Oryzias latipes: one gene and its partners. The protein of the gene in region 1 interacts with the protein of each later gene in a biochemical or structural test. Links are inferred from orthologs where the notes say so. Each region holds a gene or a part of one and is shown in the gene's direction. Other genes may lie near its edges.

What was found.
Region 2: the proteins of hif1a (region 1) and epo form a complex in vitro, tested with the Homo sapiens proteins (2 studies listed by BioGRID). The link is inferred for Oryzias latipes from reciprocal best matches to the Homo sapiens genes HIF1A and EPO.
Region 3: the proteins of hif1a (region 1) and rack1 form a complex in vitro, tested with the Homo sapiens proteins (2 studies listed by BioGRID). The link is inferred for Oryzias latipes from reciprocal best matches to the Homo sapiens genes HIF1A and RACK1.
Region 4: of the proteins of hif1a (region 1) and usp20, one has a biochemical effect on the other in vitro, tested with the Homo sapiens proteins (2 studies listed by BioGRID and IntAct, with this or other methods). The link is inferred for Oryzias latipes from reciprocal best matches to the Homo sapiens genes HIF1A and USP20.
Region 5: the proteins of hif1a (region 1) and mta1 form a complex in vitro, tested with the Homo sapiens proteins (2 studies listed by BioGRID). The link is inferred for Oryzias latipes from reciprocal best matches to the Homo sapiens genes HIF1A and MTA1.
Region 6: the proteins of hif1a (region 1) and hdac3 form a complex in vitro, tested with the Homo sapiens proteins (2 studies listed by BioGRID). The link is inferred for Oryzias latipes from reciprocal best matches to the Homo sapiens genes HIF1A and HDAC3.
Region 7: the proteins of hif1a (region 1) and egln3 form a complex in vitro, tested with the Homo sapiens proteins (5 studies listed by BioGRID, with this or other methods). The link is inferred for Oryzias latipes from reciprocal best matches to the Homo sapiens genes HIF1A and EGLN3.

What each region holds. Positions count from the first base shown.
Region 1 is NC_019880.2:11,968,841-11,973,087, reverse strand, and holds the start of hif1a (hypoxia-inducible factor 1-alpha), read left to right. Parts: upstream 1-1,441; 5' UTR 1,442-1,725; coding exon 1,726-1,757; intron 1,758-4,247.
Region 2 is NC_019876.2:6,191,075-6,194,737, reverse strand, and holds part of epo (erythropoietin), read left to right. Parts: intron 1-113; coding exon 114-244; intron 245-357; coding exon 358-444; intron 445-694; coding exon 695-859; intron 860-3,663. UniProt on the Homo sapiens protein: Hormone involved in the regulation of erythrocyte proliferation and differentiation and the maintenance of a physiological level of circulating erythrocyte mass.
Region 3 is NC_019868.2:17,071,846-17,076,286, forward strand, and holds the start of rack1 (receptor of activated protein C kinase 1), read left to right. Parts: upstream 1-1,571; 5' UTR 1,572-1,688; coding exon 1,689-1,797; intron 1,798-2,164; coding exon 2,165-2,336; intron 2,337-3,061; coding exon 3,062-3,209; intron 3,210-3,477; coding exon 3,478-3,573; intron 3,574-3,782; coding exon 3,783-3,893; intron 3,894-4,140; coding exon 4,141-4,281; intron 4,282-4,441. UniProt on the Homo sapiens protein: Scaffolding protein involved in the recruitment, assembly and/or regulation of a variety of signaling molecules. Interacts with a wide variety of proteins and plays a role in many cellular processes.
Region 4 is NC_019870.2:7,753,149-7,757,545, reverse strand, and holds the start of usp20 (ubiquitin carboxyl-terminal hydrolase 20), read left to right. Parts: upstream 1-1,568; 5' UTR 1,569-1,844; intron 1,845-2,037; 5' UTR 2,038-2,058; coding exon 2,059-2,136; intron 2,137-2,245; coding exon 2,246-2,299; intron 2,300-2,504; coding exon 2,505-2,567; intron 2,568-2,659; coding exon 2,660-2,800; intron 2,801-2,873; coding exon 2,874-2,976; intron 2,977-4,397.
Region 5 is NC_019880.2:4,694,882-4,699,136, reverse strand, and holds the start of mta1 (metastasis-associated protein MTA1), read left to right. Parts: upstream 1-1,451; 5' UTR 1,452-1,470; intron 1,471-1,585; exon of another isoform or gene 1,586-1,614; 5' UTR 1,615-1,687; coding exon 1,688-1,715; intron 1,716-4,255. UniProt on the Homo sapiens protein: Transcriptional coregulator which can act as both a transcriptional corepressor and coactivator. Acts as a component of the histone deacetylase NuRD complex which participates in the remodeling of chromatin.
Region 6 is NC_019868.2:25,322,720-25,326,892, reverse strand, and holds the start of hdac3 (histone deacetylase 3), read left to right. Parts: upstream 1-1,336; 5' UTR 1,337-1,470; coding exon 1,471-1,525; intron 1,526-2,430; coding exon 2,431-2,513; intron 2,514-2,600; coding exon 2,601-2,743; intron 2,744-2,837; coding exon 2,838-2,919; intron 2,920-4,173. UniProt on the Homo sapiens protein: Histone deacetylase that catalyzes the deacetylation of lysine residues on the N-terminal part of the core histones (H2A, H2B, H3 and H4), and some other non-histone substrates.
Region 7 is NC_019880.2:24,327,562-24,331,841, reverse strand, and holds the start of egln3 (egl nine homolog 3), read left to right. Parts: upstream 1-1,335; 5' UTR 1,336-1,523; coding exon 1,524-1,886; intron 1,887-4,269; coding exon 4,270-4,280. UniProt on the Homo sapiens protein: Prolyl hydroxylase that mediates hydroxylation of proline residues in target proteins, such as PKM, TELO2, ATF4 and HIF1A. Target proteins are preferentially recognized via a LXXLAP motif.

The sequences.
Region 1 (4,247 bases):
TACTTTGTGTAATCCACATTTGCCTCGACTCGCACATTTTCTCATTGCAGACCAAGAGAGGATAAACAGGAAACCACAGAACGTCTCTACAATCGCTTTTAATCGAAACAGGAAAAAAAACATGAGTGACAGTATTTTCTTGTCTGCTACGTGGGGAAGCATTTGGAGATTTGGCAAAAAAAATGAGCCCCGCTAAGCTCTTGAGGTTAAAACGGCACAGACGGACCCTTCCTGTGAGTTTGAATGTGGAAGTCGCTGAGCTCTACGTGTGTTTATCACTTCAAGCCCGTGTTCTGTGGTGGACTAGAAGCTGATTCAAGACAAAAGAAAAAATTTTGCTTTCATTCATTTTTCAACAAAAAATGCATATAAATTTACATCAAAGTCTGCTGACCTGTTAAGACTTCCCTTATTAAGTCAATAAAGTTCATTGTGTCTATAAGATTAACTGACTTATTGGGTTATGTCAGGTATGTGTAAAAACACAAACCGTGTCTGATAAAAAATAACCCAAGAAGTCAGTTACCTTATTAAGGATTTTCCTCCTAAGTAATAACCTGCAACATAACCACGGTTTGTGTATACTGTATATATGTCATGTTTGGCAGCTGTCTGTAGGTTATATCTGAATCCACCCCATCTTTAATTACATCCAGAGCTTCCGGCAGCTTCCAGCAAAACCTTATTGAGTCCCCAATCTCACTCTGCTGTCCAGCATCTTTGACTGATAATCCCTTGAATCGGAGGAGATAATGAAAAAGACTCCACACAGAGACCCTCCAAGTAATTCCCCTATAGCAATCTTCAGGTTGATGCATTTCCAGTCCACAGGCCTATTGCTTTGTACTCTCAAGCTTGCTGTTTCTGCAGCAGCTCTAAATGAGTCAAGGAAAAGTTTTTTTTTCTCTGTCGAATGATACCTTTTATTTTCATTTTTACAGAATTGTGTCTTTGAATTTTAGGAGCAGATTACAACACAAATAGAAAACATACTTTATAGTAACTTTCCATTTATTTTTGTAAGGCAAATGTTAACTTTGCATTGTTTGTGTTGATCCATCCATGTGTCTGACAAGGAATAGTGACAGACTACTCAAAACAAAAGATGTTTCCACTATAAAAGCACATAAATAGCATAAATAAGGTAAATTAAAAAAAATTGCAAAAGGCCTTAAAAGGTAGAATTTGTATAAAAAACATAAGATGTAAACAATTACACATTTTTTGTATGTTTAGATACAATTTAAAAATCTTGTATCAATTATTCCCTGGAACATACATACCTTAACCTATTTGCCCTAAAATTGCATTACTTTTAATAAGTCACGCGCCATGCAGGCAGCAAAAATGTGTGCAATTTTAAGCAGCAGGTGATTTTAGCTTGCAGCGCGCGCCCCCGTTGGTGGAAAATAAGGACACGTGATTGCGCGTTCCCGGGAGGCAGCAGGAGGAGTCAACGATCCTTCGCGAGGCAACATTGTCTTAGCAAGAAGCGCGTCTCCTGCGTGGCACATTTTCCTTAACCCTACGGAAAGTATACCGAATAGCCCGATTTGAGCCAAAGAGAGTTTGATTTATCCAACAAAGGATATCTGCCTCGAACTCTTATGCAACCCACTTGAGAGGCAACGGATTAACATTGAGGGATTGTGGTTCATTTTCTGACGCGCCCGGATACAGCTTCACACCGATAGAGAGGCTAAACTCAAGTCCTTTCGTCCTGACATGGACACAGGATTTGTACCCGAAAAGAAAAGGTAACGTCACAGTTTGCTAACGCCGCTACTCGTCTGCTTTTCGTTTTAAACATTTCTAAACATGTTTTTCTTTTGTTAGAACTTTAATATTCACTTACGTTTACTACTCTCTACGGTCCAAAATTTCTAGCTTACTGCCAGTTTGGTGTGTTTGTTGGACTTCATACGAATGTCATCGCTGCTAGTAGTGTCGTTAGCAAAAATGCTAACATAGCTAGCTGTCGGAAATGGTGTTATATTGAAAGGTCGGCGTCAACCTGTCTATTTACACTAAATCTTTATATTGAAATAATTTAATGTGCTGGAATTTTTAAAATGTAGTTTATTTACGTCATTAAAACCGTTCTCTGCGTTTCCCTCCATCATCATGTGCTTTTTGTTCGGAAACTTCTTTAGATCCCAGCAGATGTGGTCGATTTTCTAAATCTTAATAATTAATAATACTTCGATTAATATTTGCAGTTTTTATACATCTAGTTACATTTGAGTAGATCAGTGGATTTATGTGGTTTAATAGTATTGACTGGTCAGTGAACACCTGCTGCTCACGTGTGACTTGTGGCCTGAAGTTCCTCCTTGTCTGCTTAAGTTTTAGTCGTTTTGAATTTGAGACTAAAGATTCATTTTAAAACTCTTGTTTTAGCCTTTTGTTTTGCTGAAAGTTGCTTTTTAAAAACCCATTTTAGAAAAAATTTGTTTCACCAAATGCCTTTGGTATTATATTATTATTGCTTTCCAAAAAATAATTAGATTTAGAGTAACACTCAACCATAATAATAATAGCAACAATAGTAATAATGATGTAAGATATAAAGGTTGTACAAGTGTCGTGCAACAGAGAAACTTTAAAGTTTCAGTTAATTTCGTTACTTTTAAGGTTAGGCAGCCATGTTTATTATTTGAAAGTTGTAGTTTTTTTACACAAAATTAACAATCATTCTATAATAAAATGTACAATTCAGTGAATAGAAATTATTGATAAAAACAACTCATTTGTAAACTGAACTACCAGTTTATCAAAGCTGATGCAATGAAGGGTAATCACATTTTACTAAATTGAATGATGTCTGGATTTTAATACATTGACAAAGTAGGATATTTATGATAAAATAATTGTGTTCTTTACTCTATTACAATTGATCTGACATTTTGGTTTAAAATATTAATCAAAATATTTGTTGACATTTTTTATAGACATAATACATATTAATTTTTAGATTTTACATATTATTTTATAACTTTTGTAATGTAAGTTTCTCATCTTAAAACAGCCATGTAACTTTGAACATTTAGTATACAGTATTTTGCATGAAGCAGAAATGTAATAAAGAAATGTATGTTCAACAGGAAAAAGTAAAAAGAAAAAGGTTTCCTCCCAGCAAGACATATTTTCTGACTTCCCCCCCCCCATAACTTTAATTCCCTGATGTACCACTTAATAACAAAAAATTTTTACCTACAAAAGCTCATAATGATTATGATTCAGCTGCTGGTGAAAAATATGAACATAGTGAATAGTAGTAAAAATTTGTGATGAAAAAACCCTTATAGTTCAGAAAGAAAACTTTATTTTTTTACACTGGTCAAGCACAAAGAGTGGCTAAAAGTTGAAAACTAAGTACATATCCTACTGCATCTGTCTGCCTAAACAGCTAAATGTGTGGTGGTTTTAGAGCTTTGTTTAGATCTAGATAATGGGGTCATCATTTAAACTGGAAATAAACACGTGTTCAGTCTTGGCCATTGTGGCAGTTTATTCTGATTTAGTTCTTTCAGACCTCCGTAAATTGTTTTGCTATAATTTCTGTCTCATCTCTTAATCACAGGGTCTTGACGTCAATGGGAGTGGCTAAAAGTGTGTAGGAATTCACTGAGTGGCGATGGGTGCTTCCTGTGAGGCATTCAAGGAGCAGACTAGTTAGAACTAGAAACAGATTACCTGGATTATATAGAAGGACATGTTTCTGTTTTTTGCCAAAAATATAACTTTATGGCTGTTTCCTGAATTGAATTAAATTAAAGTTGAAATTAGGATTTTTGTATAATTACCTACTGTGACTATGTTGGGGGTTTTAACCACTGGGAAGTGCAGACTTAGAGGTCAGAGATGGATGTTATGTCATAACAGAAATCTTAAGTGAGAGGAACTCTTGTGAGCTGTTTAACTTTTTGATCCCTCATAAATATGCCAAAAGGCTAACGAAGATTGTTTCTTTGTCTTTTGAGTTGTTTTTTTTGTTTTTTTTGGTGTTAAAGCTGCAAAGATCAACGGGTTATGGGCCCAGAAGCAACTAAAAAGAAATCTTAGAAAAAAAAATATGATTGATGATTTTATTATACATGAAAATTTGTGGCGATTATCATGCTAACGTCGGGATAAATTCACAAGAATGCTCCATCACTTATATTTGATGTTAATAAAAGCAAGTTTGAGCAATGTCAAAACTTGCTTTTTGACCCAATAGTGAAGCTAAAGAGCAGCAGGCGCTC
Region 2 (3,663 bases), on another chromosome or scaffold:
TGGATACTTACAACATTACATTTAGTTTTATCTCACTTGTTTAGTTAGGTCAACCTAGATTTGATATCCTCTAGACTTTGCAAAACTCCTGTTGTGTGTATCTTTGGTGGCAGGACTGTTTGCCTTGCTGTTGATTGTGTTGGAGTGGACCTGCCCAGGCCTACTATCCCCACTGCGGCCAATCTGTGACCTGAGGGTCCTAAACCATTTCATCCAGGAAGCACGAGACGCAGAAGTCGCTATGGTGAGTGGAGAATGTGTGAATGGGATCCACAAGTGGTGACTGTGCATACTGGATGTTTGGATCCCTTTAATTAGGAGGCTTTAATTATCGTGTCTTTGTTTGCACTTCCTTAGAGGTCATGCAGAGAAGGATGTGGCCTAACACAGACGGTCTCTGTTCCCCAAACTACAGTCAACTTCGAGGACTGGGAGAAGAAAAATGTAAGTATCAATTTGAATAAATGCTATGATTGAACCTTCTGATGATGTAGCCAATAAAAACATGTTACATTGTGATTTTTTTAACACGTAAAAATGTTGTTTTGCCTGTTTTCTTTATGTAATAATATTTTCTTGAGCTGTGAGTTCTGATAATTTCCAGAGGAAGAGTTAATTGCTTCCTACATCCTTTGATTCTTATCTTTTCCGAGATGAGACCCCCACTCTTTGCTCTTGTTTATCCTCTGGGAAGGCACTAGAGCAAGCTGAGGAAGTGCAGACCGGCTTGTGGCTGTTACAGCAGGCCCTCGGCTCATTTGGACCATCGGTCACCAACACGGCGCTGAACAACCACATAGACAACACTGCCAGAAACCTGGTCAGCATCAATGCTGTGCTGCGTAGCCTCAATTTTCAGGTGAGGGGCGAATGGGACGGGTGACTCTACGGTTCATTCCTAACGTTGAAGTGACAATGACAACTTTTTGGTAGAATATAAACCAAATGATGAATTATTTGAGTTTGTGGCATATGCCAAAGTTGAAAAAGGAAACACTGATATTACTTTTTCATGGTGATGTGATACATAAGAGGTTGTTTTTCTTTGTGAGGACCTACTCAGGATCTCAATTTGTTCTTTCTGTTGTGGGGAGTTGCATCTGTTCTCGCCTCTGGCTAAAGTCTTAGATATCCCTTGTGCTATCCTAGGCACTTTGACATTGGGAGTTGGGTCATCTAGACCCCACAAGACAGTGCGCTGAACTTTTTTCTTCAATGATTCAGTGATCTTCACTGGTTTCCATGGATTACATGAAACATCTATTTTTGTCATGGTAGGGATAACACGTCAATGGTCATCTTGACCCCATAGGATAGCACAAGGGTTAAAATACACTATTAATACTATAGGGGTTGACCTGTATGGGTACTGTCAGTTGTTGGGTTGTCCGGCCACATGGAAGGTCGTAGAGAGGAGCGGCCAAATCTTTAGGGGAGCACAGTTGTGTCTTGCAGTTTCCTTGAAACTAATGCATCCACCTTAAGGGACGTCATGACAGTGGAATGGACCATTGTTGTGTGTGGTAAGTGCATCTTAAAGTATTTGTAAGGATACTGTAAGTTGCATGCACTGAATGACGTAGGGGCGGTGCTGTTGTACGGTGTCCTTACGCTGTACTTTAGTCGTTCGTTAGGTGCGAGTACTTACTCCTTACTAACCATTATGATTACGTAAGTGCTCACAGGATGCTAGTTGGATGCCCACACAAACTATACTCTGATTGTCTAATTTCCTAAATTCTAACAGTCTATCTGCATGCAAGGAGCACGCAAGGGGCAGCATTTCTGCAGAAAAATGTGCATAAACATTTCCACTCTGTAAGGTCATCAAGAGGTCTACGACCTTGATACTTTGTGCAGTTAACCTGTGAGCCGCTTACAGTTTTGCCTATTTTTGCCCGCAGACCCTATCCACCCATAAGGGCAGTTGTGACTAAGGCCTAATACAGACAGTAATACGATGCATGGAGGCCTTCACACATTTTGTCTGCTGTGAGTCACGGCTCGCCTACATCACCATGGCGTAGTTTTGTCAGAGCATTGTCAAGGCCCGTTCACACCGGGACGAATTTCGCCGGCGATTTTCGCCGACATTTAACGCCTCGTGACTAAACAAAGGGCACCAATGTGAGTGTGCACACTGACGCGAAAAAACGCCACGCGTCAAAGCGTCAAAAAAAAAAACGCCTCGGGTTCGTTTTTTTTTCCCGACGCGTCGCGTCGAAATCTATTCGACCAATGAGAATGGCGCTTTTGCACGCGTGTCTGGAGCTTCTGAAGTTACAGTAAAACACAGCTTGGGGGCGCTCAAACACAAAACTGCCTTGCTGAGCACACATACCAGCGAAGAAGATAGACGCCAAGTAGCGTCAACACTGCCGCAAAGAAATAATGACGGACATTCTAAAATATCCCCGAACCATGCACCAGTTGGAGCTACTGGTGCTTGAAATATTCATGTTTTCTTTGTATTATTCTGACAAGCGCGTAAATACTTGCTCTCTTCTTCTGAGTGAAAAGCGACTTTAAGAAGCGTAAAGTTGCGCAGCGCCACCTTGTGTACAGGAGTATTTCTGTTTACATTAAGCGCCATCTAATGTCAGGGAAGGAAATTGCATGTTCGCTCGGCTCATCGTCAGCGAAAATCGCCTGGGTGTGAACACAAAAAACGTGGCGAAAAACGCTGGCGAATAACGCCTGGCGAATATTCGTCCCGGTGTGTACGGGCCTTCAGGTGGTCTCATTCAATTATGGCGAAAATTCAAAACAAAGCAGATTTTTTAAAGCAGTTCCTTGACTGTCCTAATTGTCAATGGATATCATGACGGAACCAGAACAATTTCAGCAACCAAATAATTTGTAGTTTTAGGTAAAAAAAACTCAATCGATTGGTGCTCTCGTTCATTTCGTATCCAATTCATTTTTTCTGGCCACATCACCCTAATCTACTTTAAGGATGGAAAATCAAACAAAACAACCAAATTAACAGAAGCACATCGTAATACACTGCAACTCCTATCTTCAGACCTCATTAGTTGGTTTGAAAAGTGTGGTATCAAATGTAAGAGGAACTAGGGGTCAAATCAACTTATAATACATTGTTTTACTGTGAAAAATAATCAGGAAAAGAAAGTTTTTATTGGTGTCTGTGTGGCTGAAAACTAATGACAGCAGGTGTTTGCTCAGTAAGCAGAGTGGTCATCCTCTCACCAAGGACAGAATTTTGAACTTTTGCTTATAGAGCAGTTTATTGCTGTTGGTTTTATGCTTTGTTTTCCTCAGTTTAGTGAAAATGAACTTTGTTCTGTTGAACATGCTCTTTTAACAAGCAAACAGATGACCTTTTCTTTGTTTTATTGTGCTTTGACACTTCTAACTGGCTCCCCTCAATACTAAGGAAGAGGTAGAGGTCAAAAGACCATAAATGTCCACTTGGGACTTTAATTATTAACTTTTGACAGATAAAAGTATAAATAGACATTTAAAAGCAAGACTGATTACGCAAGAACCCTGAGTGAACAGTTTTGCTAATTACAACTTTTTTGTAAAGGCCAGACAATGCAGATTAAGAGCCTTATTTGTGAAGAAAAATCTACTCCAGCTGTTTAAAATATCTGATGCACTGTTGATATTTCTGGACATTATCCCAAAGTTTAAAGGTAG
Region 3 (4,441 bases), on another chromosome or scaffold:
CGTGCAGCTGTGATGTCACATGCCCTCTCTGGGCTGACCCTGAGCCTACATAGGCACTGCCATCTTGCCTTCAGGATGCCTATAGTCATCTCCACCCTGACCCGTGTTCTGCTGTGGGTCAGGTTGAACTGTGCCTGTTGTCGAGTCTGAGGATCAGGGTAGGGGGTCATCAGATATGGCAGACAAGGATACCCCCTGTCCCCCAGCAAGTAACCACTGAAATGTCCTATAATGGCAGTTAAAGTGTATAATTTACATAACATTAAATGCATGACATTGTATAAAAAATGAAGGTAAATTATACCCTGGTGAAATTTGGGGCACAATTATGACTCCCTAAAAATTCTGGCATCACGAACAGATCCTAGCTATTTGGCTTCTTTTGTTTCTGCTTTCTTTTGTTTTGTGTGCTTGAATTAAAAAAACAATTCCAAAAAGATGGATCATCATACAAACTGCCTTACACCTCATTCAAATATAGAATTCTTTGTCGTATATTTGTCTCCTCTGCTTCTGCATGATCAAAATAAAGTAACATCGCAGTAATGCAAAATTGATTATTTTCGAATAAAAAAAACAATCTGTAATATAATGAATGGAAGTACAGCACAGTAACAAAAAAAGCATTTGGCAGTCACTGATTCTTCAAGATGTCGCACTTTTAAAATGACAGGTCAGTAATGTTCATCATAGATACTATTCAACTTTGAAAGACGACAACATGTTAAAAAAATCTAGCTGATCACATTGTATGATTTTTAAAAATGTGTTTGTATAACCCTTGTGCTATCCTAGGCACTTTAACGTTGGGAGTTGGGTCATCTAGACCCACAGTTCACTGAACCTTTTTTCTTCAATGATTTGTGATCTTCACTGGTGTCCATGGATTACATGAAATCTTTCCACCTTTATCCACTTTTTTCATGGTAGGAATAACACGTCAATGTAAGGGTGGGGGTCATAGGATAGCACAAGGGTTAAACGGGCACAGAAAAAGAGTACGGTATTTGATCAGAAACAAAAGTTCATCTTGAAATGCTTTTTACGTTGCCACTCCTTTGCTGCCATAAGTGGATGTGGCTGTGGCTGTCCAAACACTTTGCTCTGACAACACAATGACAATCGAAGTAAAAAAAGAGTCAGAAATCTGAGATTATTTTAAACAGCACAGAGTAAAAAAAGTTTAAATTAGACCAATTAGATTAATTAATTAGGTTAAAATGGGGGGAGGGGGTTAGAATCCGAAGAAAAAAGCCAGAAGTCGTAAAAAAAAGTCTAGAACTCTGACTGGATAATTTAGAATTCTGAATAAAGTCAGAAATCTGACATTATTGAGATAGAAAAGGTTTGAATTCTGAGATAAAGTGAGAATTTCCCTTTCTCCGTGGTCCTAATCTTCTTCCGTACGTAATAAAGATAACTATTGGGATTTTTTTCCCCTTTCTTTAAGAGAACTTTTAATTGAAAAACAAGCTAAGAGGTGCATACATCAATGGCGTAAAGCAGACTACTGCGGTGTAGTCAAGTCCACCCGTCCCAGAATCCTTTGCGCGACCTTTCATAGTTTCTGCATCCGGGGTCGTATTTCCTTTTCCTCTGTGCCTAGATGCGATGAGGAGCTAGGTTCGGCTGAACCTGTCTAAAATCCGAATCCATCCTTGTAAAAGGCACCACCGAACCTCCCCAAAATGACTGAGCAGATGACAGTAAGGGGGACCCTGAAGGGGCATAGTGGATGGGTCACACAGATCGCCACTACACCTCAATACCCCGACATGATTCTGTCGGCGTCCCGAGGTGAGGCTTCGCCCCGCCGGCACCGCCAACATGGCTAACGTTAGCTCTCAGCTGCTTGCGTTCAAAATGCTGTAACTTTGAATTTGTTGCGTGAGTAAATGAAACCAGCTAGATTTAATAAACAACTACGGAGGTTTTTACCGTATATAAAGTGATGCAAAATGAACATTTGTAGACATGTTAGCAAAGAGGTAAGCTAGCTTCCTGTGACATAGCATAATATGTGGCAGCTGCTACCTCAAAAAAACTTAGTTGTAACTGAAGCACTTTTCTTATTGATGCACATTTTATTTTGAAAAAAAAAATGTATCTGAATAAATATAAAAGTGGTTTGAATGTGTTTATCTAAAGTATCTCTTGCTTTCAGACAAATCTATCATCATGTGGAAACTGACCCGTGATGAGACCAACTATGGCATCCCCCAGCGCTCCCTGAAGGGCCACTCTCACTTTGTAAGTGATGTTGTGATTTCCTCTGATGGACAGTTTGCCCTGTCAGGAGCCTGGGATGGAACCCTCCGCCTGTGGGACCTCACCACGTAAGTGAAGGGCAGGAAGCATCTCTTTAGTGGTTGGTGGCAGCATGATTTTAATCATTTATGTGAAGCAGCTGCCAGCCAGCCATTCATTTGTGGAGAAAATGGGATGTATTTTGAAAAGATGCCTAACACATATGTACTAAAGACTATCAAAAGAAGACGAGTACATTTACTGATTACATTCCATGATGCATATAAATACCTTAGATTTCAGATTAGTTTTGTTGTTTTGCTATTGAGAGATTTGGAAATCAATTTAGCATGTTTCTTTTTAAAATGAGGTTTACCTGCATCCAGTCCAGTCATTTCAGTTTTTTAAGCACCAGTTTACAGCTTTAGTTGTTTCTAGGAGCCTCACAAGTCATGAAACGTCCAGTCAACCTAAATTCATTGTTTTTAATTCATTCCACCTCACATCATCTTTAAATGCCAAATTCTCTCAACTTGTATGTTTAGTCATTTTGATGGAGATCTATCCTGTTTATATTTTATGGGATTGAACTGACTTGTTTTAATGTACTATTGTCTCTAGCCTTTACCTTTTTTTGTTTACATTTGATAGTTTCACAGCTTTCTAAAGGCAAACCTTTATTGATGTTCCTTTCTTGGTCCGTCTGTTGTGGAGTGTATTTCTTAGCTGTGGTGTGATGACAGGCGTCCTCTTCATGTTTTTTTTTTTTTTTATTGAAAGCCTCTTGCTAATAGGTAAATGTGCCATTTTTCAGAGGGCTCACCACCCGCCAATTTGTTGGACACACCAAGGATGTTTTGAGCGTGGCCTTCTCTGCTGATAACCGCCAGATCGTGTCTGGCTCTCGGGACAAGACCATCAAGCTGTGGAACACTCTCGGCGTTTGCAAGTACACCATTCAGGTGAGCTGCCGGATAATGCTGCCTCTTTGTAGATCTTATGACGTCCTTATCCGTGCTGCAGGATTTTATTGACTTTGAACTCCTGTGAAGAGTTGACATGACGGTCAGATCATGAAGTTAAGCAAATTAAGTCGCTAACCTTCAAAAAGAAAGGCTTTACTGATAATCTCGTGCTTGTAAATTTTGTAAATTTATTTTAAAAAATCACATAAGCATTGACCTGTAATCAAATAGATTCCTGTAAAACCGTATGTGTTTGATTTTGCAGGATGAAGGCCATACTGAGTGGGTGTCTTGTGTTCGCTTTTCTCCAAACAGCAGCAACCCCATTATTGTCTCCTGCGGCTGGGACAAGATGGTCAAGGTTTGTACTTCCGCTTCCCTTCATTTGCCATTAGATTGATTTAAAAACAATAGAAAAATATGCTCCATGATTTTAAAGAAGTTTGCATGTATTACCTGACCTGGTTTCTGATGAGAAGCTTTGTGGATGAGAGCACGTCTCCACAGTTTTATCTGGTCTTTTCATGTCAGTGTAAACTTGACGGTCACTGTCTGCTGCTGTTTCTATAGGTGTGGAACCTGGCGAACTGCAAGCTGAAGACTAACCACATCGGCCACACTGGCTACCTGAACACGGTGACCGTATCTCCTGACGGCTCCTTGTGTGCATCCGGTGGAAAGGTAAGCTGGTTCAGTTGGAGAACTCGACTCGTATACTTGTGAAGATTTTTAGTGATGGCACACAAAGGCCGACCTCCAGGTGTCAACTGTGATGGATAAATAACACATCATTCTGTTGGTAAACAATTGATGACAAAAGAGGCTGTTTCTGAGTGACACTGAGTCGTAAAGCCACGCTAAATGAAGATCCAGAACAGAGCTGCTGTGTGGTCATGGCTTATTTTCTTGTTAATGTTCTCTCAATCAGGACGGCCAGGCTATGCTTTGGGATCTGAACGAGGGCAAGCACCTGTACACCCTGGACAGCGGCGATGTCATCAATGCCCTTTGCTTCAGCCCCAACCGCTACTGGCTTTGTGCCGCCACTGGCCCTAGCATCAAGATCTGGGTGAGAGCTCCTACGTGATGATGTGGAACTACTGCTGAATGTGGTTTGATGGGCCTTGATGAAACTTGAAAATGCTAACTGTATTGCTTGATGATAACAGAGGCTGTTTCTGAGCTCCAGACTAATTAGCTTCAGTCATTTCTGTACATTGCCTGTTATT
Region 4 (4,397 bases), on another chromosome or scaffold:
TTGCTTGGCAGTCCTGACCTTTAATTGATGGAGGTCAGGTTGAGATTATATGGAGTGAGTCAGCTGTTCACGTTCAACATCTTTGTCACAAATGCATTCCTGGAAGAATGGTCAAACATTCCCATCAAGACACACCTAAACTTGTGGAAAACGTTTTAAAAATGTCAATACCTCACTGCTGTGACAAGTTTCATTCATTTCATTTATTTTGAAAATAAATCCTGTTTTTTAAAATATAATCTATAATATAGATTTCTATATTAGTGTCCTTGAAGTGTACATTAAATAAAAAATAAAATAAGTCATATCTTTTTTTTTTTAATTTTTTGTGCAAAACAGAAGTATAGTACAAAGCACATTTTTACAAAATAAACTTCAAATAGGCCAGGGGAGCATACTTATTACATGCATTTTACATAAAAACATTCAAGTTTTTACAACTTTCATAGAAACATACAGCTTTCTGGCGAAGGCTTTTAGAGATGGTACTGAGATATATTTCAATTTGTTTGATTAATATGGGGAAAATAGAAGTTGAAGAAAATTTGCATTTATGAATATGACATTTTTTACTTGACCCCAAGTTTTTATTTTGAAAGCAAAAAATTATATATTCAAATTTCAGAGTGAAGTTGGGGTGAATATGTTTTTTGATAAATTGTAAACACTTTTTCCAAAAAATTCAATTTTCATTAAAGTTCCAAAAAAGATGGTCAATTGTTTCTGGATGTCATTTGCAAACATTACAGTTAGGGTCAATTGTTTTAACATATCTCAGCATGAATTGATTGCTGGGGTAGATTTTGTGAATTATTTTAAAAGAAACCTCTTTCATTTGAATATTTATCATACATTTTTGGGTCACACTCCAGCCTTTTCTCCAAAAACTGTTGGGAGCAAACCGTCTGGTGTAGTTTTACATACATGGTACAGAAATGACATCCCTTTGAAACAAGGCATGTACTTTTTTGTTGTTGTTCTTGTGGGGTAAAACAGATTTTTCCTGTGGTGGTGTCATTTGTATCCATAGAGGGCATTTCTTTATTCCTAACAGTTATCTTAAACATTTGACATATTTCTTTGGAAACAGCATCAAACACAATGGTATACAACAAGATTGTATTTAGAATTGAATTCAGTATACCTTGGGCGGCCGTGGGGCAGCGGCAGGGCAGTCGATCATAAGATTGCAGGTTCAATTCCCGCCTTGCACACCCATGTGTCAAAGTGTCCTTTGGCAAGACACTGTACCCCACCTTGCCTCTGGTGGTGGGTTGGCGCCAGTGTTCAGCAGCAGAGCCACCACCAGTGTGTGAATGTTTGTGTGACTGTAAAGCACTTCCTCCTTCGTGGACTAATTTCTCCGATTTTGGCAGTTGAAACCCGGACAATGAACTGGCATTTTGCAAAAAATGTGTTCACATGCATACACTGACCTCACTAAGATGGCGGTGCTCTCCTCCCATGAGGAACCACGTGATGTCTCCTCTAGCGATATAAATCTTTTTTTTTCTGCCGATATTACCTGCTTACGTCATCAGACTCCTCCCCGTTTAGTCCCCCGTTTTCAACGATTGGTAGCGCCCGCTGTGGCTCACAGAAGTTACATTGAGCCGCGCGGCGGAGCGGGAGGGGGTGGGTGTCAGATCGAGGATTGTGGGTCAGCTGCCAACGTCGCCTGGCTCCTCTACTTGCTAGCTGTTCGGAGTCAACTCGAGAGCTTTCTTAGAAGATGAGAAATAATTGTTTCGCCTGCGGTAGCCGCTCTTCTTCTGTGGTAATAAGGAATTATTCGTGACAACTGTTATCGCTGCAGACGACAGAACGGGATGAGCTTTTCGAGGGTAAACATTGGGCCTGTCACTTTGCCGACTCCCGGTTGGTTCTGTGGGGGGACGGTCATTTCAACGTTTATCATGTTTAAGCTAGCAGTCAGAGAGACCGATCGCTTGTGTTTGTGACTGCAGTTCGGCTTGGTGTTGTGATAATGGAGCTAGCTAAGAGCCTCTTATAACATGTCTGCTGTCAACCTAACAGACGCACCATTGAAGAATAGTTATGGCAGAGCAAGACGTTTGTCCTCACCTGGACTCCATAGGTGAGGTGACCAAGGATGATCTACTGAAGAAATCAAAGGTGAGTTTCCATTTTTGTTGCTAAATAAAATGGATGCCATAGTAGATCTCACTAGCTTATCATTTGACGTAATCTGCCTGATTTCCCAATTTTTTAAACATTTCTTTAGGGGACTTGTCAGTCATGTGGTGCTGGGGGGCCAAACCTGTGGGCCTGTCTGCAGGTATGCTTCAAATATTCCATTGTGATGGTTTAACTTGTACAACTCCTATGAAAAGTTGCACTCAAAGTGCACCTTCTGCAATCAGTGGCTACTTTAACACGACATTTCTCAAATTGCAAATCTTAAAACTTTAATTGTTTTTCTTTATTTGCAAATTGAAAGATCCAGTTCTGCTAGATCTGATCTCAGTGTTTCTGATATGTAGAGTGACTGTCCTTACGTTGGATGTGGAGAGTCTCATTCTGATCACAGCACCTTGCATGCACAGGTAAAGTGATCATACCATCAATTCTCCACCTTTTTCACACTTTAAATGGATTAAAACTGTCTTTTTTTCTTTTTTTTGGCATCTGCTTGCAGGCAAAAAAGCATAATCTGACGGTGAACCTAACAACCTTCAGGATCTGGTGTTACACATGTGAGCGGGAGGTCTTTCTAGACCAGAGACCAGCCCTGGTCCCTGTGCCTTCTGCACCTCACCACTGCAAAGCTGCAGAGCAGGTCTGGAGCCACACCAGGGCCGCACATGATTTTCACTATAAAAAAAACTCCTAATGATTTATGTTTTATTTAGGATGGAGCTCCACAGTCTGGATGTCGCCCACTGAAAGCTGTTCCAATTGCCGTGGCAGAAGAAGACGGCTCAGAATCAGAAGAAGATGAGCTAAAACCTAGAGGTGGATCTCCTCTTAGTACTTTTCCTACTAAAAAAGCCCAGTTAAACGAAGTGAATGTTGTGTTTAAAGATCAGAAAAAATTTCAAACAGGCAGTAGAAGCACAACAAAAATATTAATTTAACCGTTTGTCCAAATTTGGTACATGACAGGGGGACAGGACATGTCAGAGGTTTGGCAGATAAAGTCAGAGAGGCAAGACTGAGATGGCCGAGACTTGTCCAGAGGAGAATTTGTGACTATATTGATAGAAGGATGCTGACTCTAGAGCTTCCAGGCAAGAGGTCTAGGGAAAAAAACCAAAGAGGATGTTTCTGAATGCAGTAAATGAAGATATGAAGGTGGCTGGCGTTAGAATAGAGGATGCGGAAGACAGGGTTAAATGGTCAAAGCTGATTCACTGTGGCGACCCTTGAAGGTAAAAGTTGCAAGGGAAAAAAAGGAAGTTCCTCCAAATGAAAAACATAAAAAGGGAGCCCTAACTCTTAAAAATAAGGTGTGCTACTTTTCTCTGACTCGCATCACTGGGGTCCTGCTTTGAAACCCGGCCCAGGCTCTCCTTCAGAGGGCAAGCCATAGAAATTGACTGATGGAATGTCACCCACACTGAGTGGGAAAGAGCCTGAGCTTGTGCAGTAGGTTGAGCGGTACTGGCTAATGACAGTCAGCCTTGTCTCCATGCACACTTTGGGCCCTTGAAATCCAACTTCTTGAAAGAACCTGGATTTCCACTTCCACTCTAAAGCAGAACTAAGAGACGTGGTTTGCTTATAGCTCACTCATCACATGTTGAGCTTCTCCTTGAATCGAGTAGAGAATTGGTGTCTCTGTGTCTCCAGCTCCAGGGAGAGGGCTTTAACTTTGTTTTTGGTTTATGAGTCAAACAGCAGCACAAAGTAACCGTTTTCTTACTGAGGTTTTTTTTTTTTGCTTTTGGTGTAATAGCAGTTATCAGCTCAGTTCCTCGACCTTGTTAAAATCTCAAGGAGGATTCCTGGAAAATACTCAGACTGGGGACTCCATTGTTCTTCTGAGAGACGTAATCACCCATTTGGTCAATGACAGTGATTCCTGGAAGGATGTGATCAGGAGGAACATCCTCCCTGATCTGAACCAGAGTTTTCTTGTAGAACTTCAGTGTCAGTCACAGTCTGTCCTTAACAAACTATGTTTGAGTCTGGTGTTTATCGGTGCTCGCAGCACCAGGACACCCTTGGCAGGAGTTCAATGATCCACTTTGTGGTCATGTCATCTGACCTCCTGTCATGTGTCTTGGACACTTTAGAGAAGCTTTAGGCAGTTTTCAACCGATTTCCACCTGGTGGTGAGTTGGATTTGCTTCCAGAGGAGAGGAGGAAGTTGTACAGACGTGGCCGTCACAAACACGCTAAGAATGTTTGGTTGAACCAAATGTCAGAAGGGT
Region 5 (4,255 bases), about 7.3 Mb from region 1:
TTATCCCGATAAAAGACTTTATAGGCCCCTCTTGAGAGTTGTACTATAATGTATTTTAAAATGACTCTAATTTAACTTAAATGACACAGTGTGGCAAACATCTAAATGCTTGTGCACATCCATTTTGTAGAAAAAAAACACACACCCTCAGTGCTCTTTGTCATAAAAGAGCGCCAGGATATAATCCAGGATCCCTCCCAAGCAGCTCAACGCGGAGACTGCACACATAAGTAGGAGTGCATGAGGCACGCACAGCTGATTGGCCTGATCCACTCATGTGATCACAAGCAGAGTCCCCCGTGTTAGGCCATGGTAATTGAAGCTTCCATATGGTATAGATCAGATGTTGCCTTCACCACAGCATTCCTGCAGCACAGTGACTTCCTTTTTGCATCCACACTGAAAACTGGGCTAATTTGGACAACTGTTTGGCATAACACCCACTCATGTAACGTCAAATAAATGAAATTCAATTTGCTAAATGACAAAACAAATTACATGTTTATGGTTTATACATTGGAGGATTTATTGATGATCTATTGTCTAATTTTTTCTTGCGTGGCAGGTGTGACGCTCTTTGCCAAAGTATACAAGAAAACGAACTTTAGCAGGAAACAGAAAAATTATGAAAAGCGTTCACTATTTTCTTACAGTTCTTTATATTACAAAGATATGAGCCATTATATAATGAATATATTACTATATTAAATTAGGGTGAAATATTTCATATTTTAAAGTAAAAATTGGATTAAAATTAAACATTTTAGCATAATATTAATCATGTTTATCCAATCACCAATTGGCTACTATTTAAATCTAAAGTCTGTAAAGTTATGCCATATTTAAACAACAATTTCTCCAATTTATCATTTTCTGTTGCTTCTGAAAATGTTACTTCTATGGAACTTATTTTTGTTTATAAAAATAATCCCTGAGTTAATTTTAAAAAGTGTGAAAAATTACTAGTTTTACTCTATTTTGGTTGCACGTGCAGTTAGTTAAACACTACGGCAACTCTTTAGGGATACTTTTAAAACAAATAAAAAAGATGATTGAGAAGGAGATTCTTAATTTGACAATTATTTCAGAGTTATTATTTATAATCAAAACTCCTATAACTACATAATATATAGGGAAACAGCAAATAAGTACATTTATTTACATAAGCACAGGTGATGTTCGCATTTCTATATCCAAGAACTTTTGTTTTTTATTTTAAAGTATCGCGATAGTTTAAGTTCTATGCCGCAAATAACTGAGGCAATGTTGGGATTTTCAAATAATAGTCGAATTATCTTTCTTGACAAGCAAAATTGTGATTTTAAACAAAAGTGTACATTCAATTGTCAAATTTGAAGTTGACATTTTCATAAAAACGACTTACATAGACGCGTTTAAGGAAGATTACGTCACTTTCTCGTTGTATAAATTACACGTTTTGGGAAATATGTCATGTGTCGCTACTTAAAGGTAATATTTGTTGAAATTGTGAGTTCACTTATCCACGTCCGGGTGCCCAAATTTTGAGGTTTCGAAAAAGAGGTGTACTGTCTCTTTAAGACGTCTCTGGCAGTCTGTTTCGTATTGATCAATCCACCATTTTCCAACACACAGCAGCTCCGGCAGCGCCACAGAGAAGAGAGCCACCCCTCTACCTGGAGAGGAAGCCAGGGACCGGGGCGCAGTCATGGCAGCGAACATGTACCGGGTTGGAGGTAAGCGCACACGGGTTCGGCTCTTTGGAACACCCCCGTCTTCGTTATTTTATGGCGGGCTCGCCATTATTCACAGAGCGAGATCTTTTATTTCCCAAAAAGCTAAAGAGCTTTGTGCCTCCACAGATGAGGATGGTGTGAAGAGGAGGATGGTGATGAAGAGTAGTAGATCTTTTTTTTTTTCTAATCACGAAATGTTGGTAGCTTCTTTTGTGCCTGTGTTTTGTTGCTCAGCGTGGAGCCAAACAACTCCTTCAGTGTGGGGATGCGCACTTTAGTGAAATGCTTTAGGTTCTCTCCTGTTTGAAGGTATCATGGCGAACATTTTCCCCAAAGTTTTGCGTGCGTTTAAACTGCTTTCTGCTCGGAGTAGCAGCCAGGAGGACTTCACTGACTGACCAACGGAGACAGGTAAAGCATCCATGAGCTGAAGGAGAAGGAGGCTGCTGGGACAAAAAGTTCAATTCTACCAAAAACATTTGGGGAACACCAAACTGGCAACTTTAGTGATGGTTTTCATGCCCATCCATCGCTAAGCTATTTTATTTCCATAATAATTTAAAAATATTTTTAAACAGGCAATTGATTAAAGTACCTAATTAAGATTCCCCACCCACTCGTTCTCTGCCTGTGTTCAGATTCAAATCCTACAGGGGAAAAAAACACGTGAAAGTTCACATAACAAAGTCTAATAATGTCATTATAAATTATTGTAAATATATTAGCCCTCTTGTTGTGGTTTAAATGTTTAAAAATACCCTTTAAAATGTTACAAATGTCTTGTTTTGTGTGTTAAAGGTTTAAACAAGCAAAAAACAACAACAGGTTTTTGGTTTAATTTTAGAAATTAGGAAGTGTTTTTTGGGATTTAAATAAATTTTTTTTTCTATTATTGTAACATAAGCTATCTTGACAACAGTGGTCATTATAGAATAATCCACACAAAGATGCTTTTCTAGTTATTAATTTAATAATGTGTGTTTATGTTTTTAAAATGTATCAAAAACTTGTAGACTGGTGTAAAAATGATATGTGAACTAACTGAAAAAACCATTAATTTGAAACATTTTGATACCATAATATTTATCTCGATGGTACACATTTCTCTGTGTTAGGACTTCATAAAAAAGTTTTGTAAAGATACATATAATGATGCTCAAAATTAATTTAAATCTTATTTTTAATGTTTTTCTTTCACCCCTAAATCCAGTTTGAATTAGATCTTCTTCTTTAAATGTATTGGCATTGAAATAACACCTGAATTTGTCGGATTTTTGCATTACTTACCCTCCTAAACGTTCATCAAAACAAACACTGACTGAATTAGTTCACAACTAGAACGTAAATATAGTGTTGAGTGGGCGATTTTTCTGCGAGTAATTTAGATGGGGTGCTGTGTGGGTTTTTGAACAATTGACGTTCTTTGGCTTGGATGAAGTTGTCATTTGTCTCGAGATGTGTCATCGTATCCCCGAAGAGCTGGCAGCAGGTGCAGCAATTTACAGCTGAGTTTATTTATCTAATCTATGTATTGATATTCTTTGGTCATAACCGCTTGTACAGGCTGAGTAACCACATTTTGTAGTACATCTAACCAGTGTGTGCACGTCTGGGAAAGAGGAACGATGATGAAGAAGAATTACCTTCACTTTATGGATCTATTTGCTTGTTCTGACCAAAAAATCGTCCCATCAAATGTAGGAGTTAGATGGACTTCTATGGATCAGCTATAGTCAAATTAAACCAGATCTACCTGACTGGCAACAGGATTATGCCCAGATCAGGGTAGAAGGTTAACCCTCCCTCTGCCAAAGTGTTGCCTAATTTGGTCCAAACCTTCATCGTCATTCTCTAGAGGAGAATCCATCAGCAGGGCTTAAATTCCTCATCTGAGCAAATTGTAATTAACTGTGCAGATGTATTATTTATTTATTGCCTTAATGCACTGAGCTTGTATTGGGTTGCCTCTGTTTTGTTGCACCGCAGCTCAGGAAATGTAATTAAATTTATCAATCAGGGTCTAAGCTGTTTACACAAACTCCCTAATTTGTCATTTTGGAAAAAGAAAAATCCATTTAGCTTCTTATAAAATACTTGAAAACATCTTAGGATTATGAAACTTACCCAATTTAATCAAAAATCATTAAACATAAGTCATAAAAATAGGACGTCTTAATTAATAACTGATAGGAGTAATCTAGACTTAGCCAATAATAAACCCTGCCTCTCCTGAAACCGGTTCCAGGTCATCATCAGAAGAAAGCAGAGCCTTAAAGAGTTGCCTTCAACTTTGCAAGACAATGCTGCTGAACCATCTTAGGAAGGACTTCCTTTGAAAAAGACTTGGACAAAAGCAGGCTCCTCTGGCCTTCATGTCTTTGTTTTGCACAGCGCAGGCCACAAGCCACTCATCCGGTGCACACAGCGGTTTTTCCTCAATGCTTCGCACCAGAGAAAGTGTTAATTACCAAAGATGGGCTGTGTGTAAAGCATAGAAGCAAACACAGCTTCTGCTTATTGAACTAGAGTTCAGGAGACAT
Region 6 (4,173 bases), on another chromosome or scaffold:
GATTTCTATTGCTTTTAGAGGTGTCTAAGTAGCTTTTATATACTATATATGTTTTTACAATTTATATATATTTATAAATATATGTAAATACATTATATTTATATATATAATATATATATATATATAGATACATCATTTGTTGTTGTTAAAGAAGAGAAACAGTCAGCCTTAAAAGCTCAAACTTTAATGAAAATGCATTGTTGCAGGACTTCTTACAAATAAAAAAATTATTACAAAGAATTAAAAAAAAATAATTTGTAAACATTTAGGAATTTTAGACCTCTTTGACATGTAATTTAAATTATTTAGAAAAACCCAACAATAACTCAATAATAATAATAATAATAATAATAATAATAATAATAATAATAATAAATCAATAGTAAGTCAATACAAACAATAAATAATAGCAATACATACATAATAAGTCAATAAATAATAAAATATAAGTCTATTATTATTATTATTATTATTATTATTATTATTATTATTATTATTATTAATAATAATAATAATAATAATAATAATAATAATAATAATAATAATAATAATAATAAAATAAATATTCAAAAGAATTCCAAAAGTGAACAATAGATTTACCCTAAAATAACAACAACAAAGAAAAATAATAGATTCATGTGAGTGATCAATTTGTGTAACACAGATGGTATGGTGTCAGGTTTCAAGCTAACAGTCTGGCCTCTTATCTAAATTGGTTTCCACAAATGTTTTGAACAGTCAGACTGTATTACTAGTTGGTACCACAGTGATCCATCTGGGTTAGCTCTTTTTATTGCTAAGATCCACTTTTTCCTTAAGTCTGAATAGTGAATAGTGAAAAGTTCGGTCACTGAGTCAGACATGTATAAATCTATATTACTATAATAGCCTAGTATGCTGTATACAGGTTTAGCAAAATAAAATGTACATTTATGTCGACAGCAAATTCTCCGTACATCATGCAGCATGTTGATAATAACCCTGCAGCATCATGCATGTCAACATGTGTTCTATTAATAAAAGAAAAACAAAAGAAAAAGAAAGAAACAAAAGAAAAAAATTATAATACTTTTCTATGAAATGATATACTTCTTCTTTCATGGACTCAGTTCTCTGATTTTGGCAGTTGAAACACAAACAATGAACTGGTATTATGCAAAAAATGTGTTCAAATGCATTCACTGCAGCAGTAACTTGACCTCACCAAGATGGCGGTGCTCTCCTCCCATGAGGAACCACGTGATGTTTCCTCTAGTGATCATCACTCATTGGTTTAAACTCACTCCGCCATCTTGAGACCCCCTGTTCGCCCCTCCCCTCTCCATCCCCTGCGTCCCAGCATGATGACGTCACCTTTAAATGTTTACGGTTAGCCGTTAGCGGCAGGAAAAATGCGGCAGACTGAGCCGCTCTTTAAAAAGTAAAACCTCGCTGAATCTCAGGATTATTATTATTTTTTTTACATTTAAAATGTCTATTAGGACGTCTTACTTTTACGACCCAGATGTGGGAAACTTTCATTACGGTGAGTTTGCTGAACGCTGGGATTGGAGCAGGAGTGCTAATGCAAGCTAGCTGGAGGAGGCTAACAATTCAAACGATTCATTGTTAAAATTCAGCTCCAATTTTGTTTCTGGGTTTAATTAAGATATTTTTTTTTATCTCATTCATATGTTCAGGCCAGTGTGTTGTAGGTGAGTAATGAACACATAACGTCACATTTGGGTGCAAAGGAAAAGAATATTGTAGCGATCCTGCCCACGGCAGGAGTGTATGTAGATACTTAGGGTTATCTGTTGGTGTTTTTAAACCCTGACTGAGTTGGTTATTTCCAGGCAACATATTTGCAATTTGTATTCTATACAGGAATGGGCTATTATACTATATACCAATTAAGCTGAGGAGTACTGATTCTAGATTTAGGTAATAGAAAGGTTAATAATAATTAATTATGTCCTTACCCGTTTCTGTTATCATGAAAACTTTTAGGTCTTAATCACTTCCAGCTGTTTATAATCTCTGAACAGTTTGGGATTATCATTGATTTGGTTTTTTTATTAGTGTGAGCTCAGTTCAAAGCTGCTGTGAGTCCACAAAGAGCTGATCACTGCAGGATAAAAATGGAGACCAAAATCTAAAACAAGTGTTTGTCCCAAAGCATTCACGGCCTCTGATTGACAAAACGATTGTTGACAGAGTGTGATCGTGGTTTCTCTGGTTTTTATAGGTCTAAAAAGAAAAGACAACAACAAACAAACATTTACAGAACCGACAGCTGCAGCAGATTCAAACTAAATGGAGGGATTCTGCAGCATTTTTTTTAATCTTCTTTCCTGTTGGTCGTGAAAACGCGTTGGAAGTGTAATCATGTTGAAATGGAGCTGATGATGAAAAAGTGATGATGCTTGTTGTGAACCGCGTCTCCTGCAGGTGCCGGTCATCCCATGAAGCCTCACCGTTTGTCTCTCACCCACAGTCTGGTGTTGCATTATGGGTTATATAAAAAGATGATGGTGAGACACTCCTGAAGGTCCAGAACCTGCTTCCACTGTTGCTTCGAGATCAAAGATTGAACTCTGCAGTTTCTCTGTGACCGTCAGGTTTTTAAGCCGTACAAAGCCTCTCAGCACGACATGTGCCGGTTCCACTCTGAAGATTACATCGACTTCCTGCAGAAGGTCAGCCCCAACAACATGCAGGGCTTCACCAAGAGCCTGAACACCTTCAACGTTGGAGATGACTGGTGAGCGCTGCTGCTGCTGCTCCTCCTCTTCATCGATCTGTCTTCTGCTTTTGGTTCATGCAAATGTGAGCACTAACCCAACGGCGGGCTCTAGTCCTGTGTTTCCAGGACTCTTTGAGTTCTGTTCCAGATACACGGGGGCGTCTCTGCAGGGCGCCACGCAGCTCAACCACAAGGTAAGCCGTCCGCTTTTCTCCATCACTGGGTTTGTCATGAACCGTCACTCATGGACTCCTCTAGTAACGGATATTCAGCTCCATTTAGGAATTATTCACAGGGTCAGACTTTAAATGTTTACATGATCATAAAGGGCTGCAGATTTTTTACACCACAATCGATCATCATACTGAACGATTTCTCTATTAGACCGAGGAAATATTCCAAACTGCGTCACCCGGATAAACGAGAACCTTCAGCCACATTCAACGCAATCATTTAAAAAAGAAAATGGTTTGCTTATTATTTATCAAACATCGTTACTCACAGGAAGGTCACAAATAAGCTAAATGTTTGGTTTTTTTTACATGTTTTTGCAGCATTAATAGAGTTAATAGTTAAATATTCTGGAGTTTGTAACAAACATAGCAGCTTCAGTTCTTAAAAATATAAAAAAAAACAATGTTATTTTCAAGCTGCGTCTTAAAAAAATAGTTTCAGCAAATGTTTGGGGAAAAAACAGCCAAAGTTGTCAGCATGAAGCTGGAAATGTTTGGAAATTTGCATTTGTCTTCATTTGTGGCGATCTCATTTTTTAACAGCACATTGTGTTCTGCGTCCTGATTCGCTGTTGACCTTGTCAATCAATCTCCTCTGTGCCAAATCATCATCAGATCTTTGTTTGCATTCTATAAAACTGGATTTATTCTCCTAGTGTGCAAATGTGTGAAAGTGAGGAGTTATCCGACTGTCACCACAGACATCCATGGATGTATATCAATCCACAGATATACATACAGAAAACAATATCATTGAGTAGACGTTTGTCATCATCAGGACAGCTGATCCAGTTTTGAGCTGCTTTATAGTAAAACATGGTCCTTCACTGTTTGGTTCTGATTCGGAACATTAAGCTGGTTTGGACTGAAAAGCAGCAGCAAAGCAGCTTTCAATGCCAACCTTTTATAGACATCTTGGAAGACATTTCTAAATCATTTTCTTTATTTCTGTCTAAAAAGAAAGTCCTACATTTCGTAGCTGTTTTCTGTGTAAACAGGGCTTCTTTATTGGAATTAAAAGTTTAAAACGGTGACTCCAGCCGCTCGTTTCCTTTCATCTGAGACAGTAAAAAGACGAAAGATGTACTTTATTGAAAAACCTGGAATCATTGGAGTGTCATTTACCTTTTATTTATAATTATTGAAACTGCAACAGAATAAAAATAAAAACATTTTTAGGCTCCAAGCACTTTTAAAATACAATGATTTTTTTTC
Region 7 (4,280 bases), about 12 Mb from region 1:
CTTTGTATTCACTTGTATCAACACTAATTCCACTTTGGGCGCGTGGTGAAGTACACGTTTTCTGTTCCTGTCAAAGCCACAGAGCGCGAGGGCTACATGCGGGTTATGGGGTAGCCAATGGCGTCTGCCCGCGCGGGCAGAGTGTTAAACGTTTCCGTGAAGGTGTAACCGTGTAACCCCGATTCTTGTCAGAGAAGCGGCGTTATATTACGCTCTTCTGCACAGATAAACTCTTTTTTTTTTTTTTTGTTCATTCTTGTAGAAGACACTAGTGTTTCTCTTTCACATGTTTACGTGACCAGACGCTGTGACCCAGCAACAAAGCGCCCAGCCCGCCTCCTGTTCTCTTGTTCCGCGGAACATCACATCCAGCACGTCCGCCGCGCGCTCCTCAGCGAAGCAGCGGCGGAAAAGCGGAGAGAGGGAGTGGGCTTTTCAAAATAAACCCAACCTCAGGTGCTGCTCAAAGTTTGAAATAAATCACTCAATTAGTGTTTCAATTTAAAATTCATGATTTATTACCGCATAGAGCTTTTTTAAATTATGAAAAACACCTTACTGCACTATTATACAAAAACGGAAAAGCCCAGGTAGTAAAAATGAAAAGAAAACAAAGAATTACACAAATGAATTGGTATTACAAAGAAAAATTGGAATTTAAGTTTTTTTTCAGCCTGGTTTCGATGGAGATTTCCTCTTCATGGTTTCCATGTGTCATTCTCAGTATACGAAAATACACCTAAAACATTTTTTTGAGTAGGCTACATGCGGATGCATGCTCGGAACAGCTTCAGTGGTCTGGACTGAAATGCACAATACTAGTAAAAAAAAACGGAAATGAAGTGGATTGTCAAAGCAGATTAATTGTAAAGAGTTACAAATAGGCGAAAAAAGACGGGAATACTATATAAAATAAGCTAAGTAAATATGGACTAAAAAAATCAAGTTGAAATAACTCATTTGTAAATATTTGATTTGCCTTTCAGCTAGCTGTTCCTTTTAGGATTTACCACAGAAAAGCCATTTCCACTATTTAATCTTGTTCATAAATATTTTTAATAAAAGTATTTGTAAATAAACAAATATTGGGATATTATTTTAAAGCGTTTTCTTTCATTTAAAAAGCTGACACAGACTCAGGTCTTTAGAGATCCAAGGATCAGAATAATAAGTCACGACACTGTCTTCCTTTCTAGCCCTAATCTTAAAAGTTAGATATCAGATTTTTTTTAACATAAATGTGATATTTTGCTGGTTTGAGGTTGAGTGTTGTTTGTGTTGAACAGATTCTGAGCTTGAGCGGTTTGTCGTCTTATTGTGAAAAGTCGTGGCGGAAGTGGTGTGAGCGCCGCATCGACGCGCGTCTGGAATAAGAGGAGCGGGGCTTCCCTCGGAGTTCAGACCGAAGCAGAAACTCCGCGGAAAGTCCAGTCTCGCTCTTGTTTTGGGTTTCCAACATTTACCGGACCTCCCGCCCCTCCGGTTCAGTCCTAACGGTTGTAAAGCCTGAAGCCCCCACCGCCATGCCCATCACCGAGCAGCTGTCCCACACCGACCTGGAGCGGCTGGCTTTGGACCGAGTGGTTCCGGCCCTGCTCACCCACGGCTTCTACTACGTGGACGGGCTCCTCGGGGAGGTGGCCGGGGCCGCCGTGCTGGACGAGGTGAAGGGAATGCACGGCTCTGGGGCGCTGCACGACGGCCGGCTCGCCGGCTCCGCCCCCGGGGTCCAGCGGCGGACCATCCGCGGCGACAAGATCGCCTGGGTGAGCGGGTCCGAGCGCGGCTGCGAGGCGATCGGCTTCCTGCTCAACCTCATCGACCGGCTGATCTCCGTGTGCGCCGGCCGGCTGGGGAACAACAAGGTGATCCGGGAACGGTCCCAGGTGAGAGACCGGGAACGGAGCCGGGACTGGAGCTGTAGTCACTTTAATCCCAGAGATGAGCTGCCATTAACTAAAGAATGAATTATTGCTTTAACAACTAATAAACATCATGTTTTAAATATAAAAATGACTTTAAAGTCCCACTCCTGACACCTTTGGTCTCTTAATTATGATGATGCTGTTTTTAGCCTACATCTAAAAACCTGTGTCATTTCTAGGACATAGTTTCTGCAGAGCGGCAGTAGTTCATTAGAAATTAGTCTCTGAGTTGTGGGCAGCACAGTTGGCAACCCCGCCGCTCTTCCCATTGCTGAGAGCTGTCTGTCTGCATGCTCTACATTAGAGCAGGATCCAGTTAGGATCCAGATTCCAGCTCAAGACCAGGAAAATAAAGACGATCACGGATCTATTTGTCTGCAGGTGGATGCATTGGAAATTAAGAAATGCCACATTGTCGCCACAAGAACACGTCTATAAGACCATTTTCATGGGTGTGGGTCTTTAAGATAATAATAAATGAAAGAAACAGAGACATCCAGCCTCTAAAGCTATAAACTATCATACAGGAATAGATGTTCGGGGCCAAATCAGCCTAAAGTCAGTCACTTTGAAGAATAAATAAAAAACAGTCTTAAACTCAAAAGTACACATAAAACTTAAGGAAATGTTGTCGATTTGAAATGTGAATTAAAAAAATTCTATATTCAGTCCTCAGTTTACAGTTTCAATTCAGAGTTTTTGTTTTCGGAGTCGATCTGAACTGTACGTGGGGGCGGGACTTTGAGCCCATAGGGTACTGTAACATGACTGACAGCGGGCGACTTGCTGGCGCCGCCTGTGTCCTCCGTCCTCTGATGTGGCTACCTAAAGTTCAGATCAATACCAGCAGATGCTACATGAAAAATGTTTATTTGTAACAACAGTCTTTATTTTTTTGAAGTTTCCATGTGCCGTTCAGAGTCTAAAACAGATGTTCAGTGTATTTTTTCTCTAATTTACAGTCTGGATTATCATGTATGTTAAGTCATTTCTGAATCAGAATATCTCTGCACCTCCTTCAAAACCTCAGAACCTCACAGACGCCGCTGTGGCTCATCAAGCCTCGGGAGAAGAACAAAAATAATCCAGATTAACGATGAAGAGGCCAGATTAAGGGTCATTCACTGCTGCTTTTCAGCTCCACACAAACCTAAACAGGCAGTGAATCAAAGGTTAAACTGAAACCTTAACTCAGTTTTTTATCAAACAACCAGGGAGCCCTTGGCAGAGGGGGGGTCAGGTGTGTGTTGGGCTCAAGGGCACTCTGGCAGTCACTCTGTGATCTGTTGTGAATGTTCAGGTGTTCTGTCGTTTATCCTGGTTTAGATTTAGTGATGATGAAGAGGAAGATGCAGAGCTCAGACTGAAGGCTCTCCAAATTTTCTGCATTGATGGGGGTTCGAATCCCAGCAGCTGTTGTGGTCTCACAGCTCATCCTCCTGACCTTGTCCGCGTCTGCGGCGTACAGACCACCAACCCCTCGGTTCAGCCGTTTCCACAGCAGAGGCGCTCCTCTGGCGGGGGTCCGTCCCCGGCGTTCCTTCGTTTGGGGCAAGGGGGGAGGGAGTCGGCCCGGCGGCCTGTGCCTCACGCTCCGCACGTAGCTCTGTCGTAAAACCGTCAGCAGATGGGAAACCCCCCCCCCCAGCAGCAGCCAGCCACGCTCTCCCACAATGCAGCAGTTCTGGGTCCCACCCCAGGAGCAGGAAGGGGAATAAAAACACCTCCAGGTGATTTATCCGTCTGCAGCCCCTCCAACCCCCACCCTGACACACTTATGTTTTTGTTTGTGCGTGCACGAGCACGTGCGCACATGCCTGAGCAAACGTGGAGCTTCCTGCTTCCTGCCAGGATGTGGATTTGGCGGCAGGTCAGCCCCCCCTCCCCCTTCCCCAGTTGACCCCCACATGTCATTCCTCACTCTGACAGTGAGGAAGAGGAGCTTATGATGGGATGTCTGTTGTGGATTCACATCAACTCCTTTTCATGACGACACAAACAACAACAACAAGTTTGTTTGATCAAAACAAATGTTGTCAAAAGTCATAAAAAGGATTAGAAATGAGACAAACCCGGCCGGATTCAGAGGTTTTGCTGTGAACCAGTTCTTGTGGCTCCACATGGGGGCGCTGTAGAGCAGCAGGACTGCTGGAATCCACAGCGGCTGAGTTGAAGTACTGATCCAAAGCTGGGAACAGTTGTGGTTCTGGAGGTTCCACTGGGACGGCAGCTGTCCGTGGGGTTTGAATTCTGAGCTTCCGTCACATCGTGAGGTGTTCTGCCGTCTGCTTGAACCCGGTCTCTGCTCTGACCCGTCCTCCTCTCGTGTGTTTCCGGTCCTTAGGCCATGGTGGC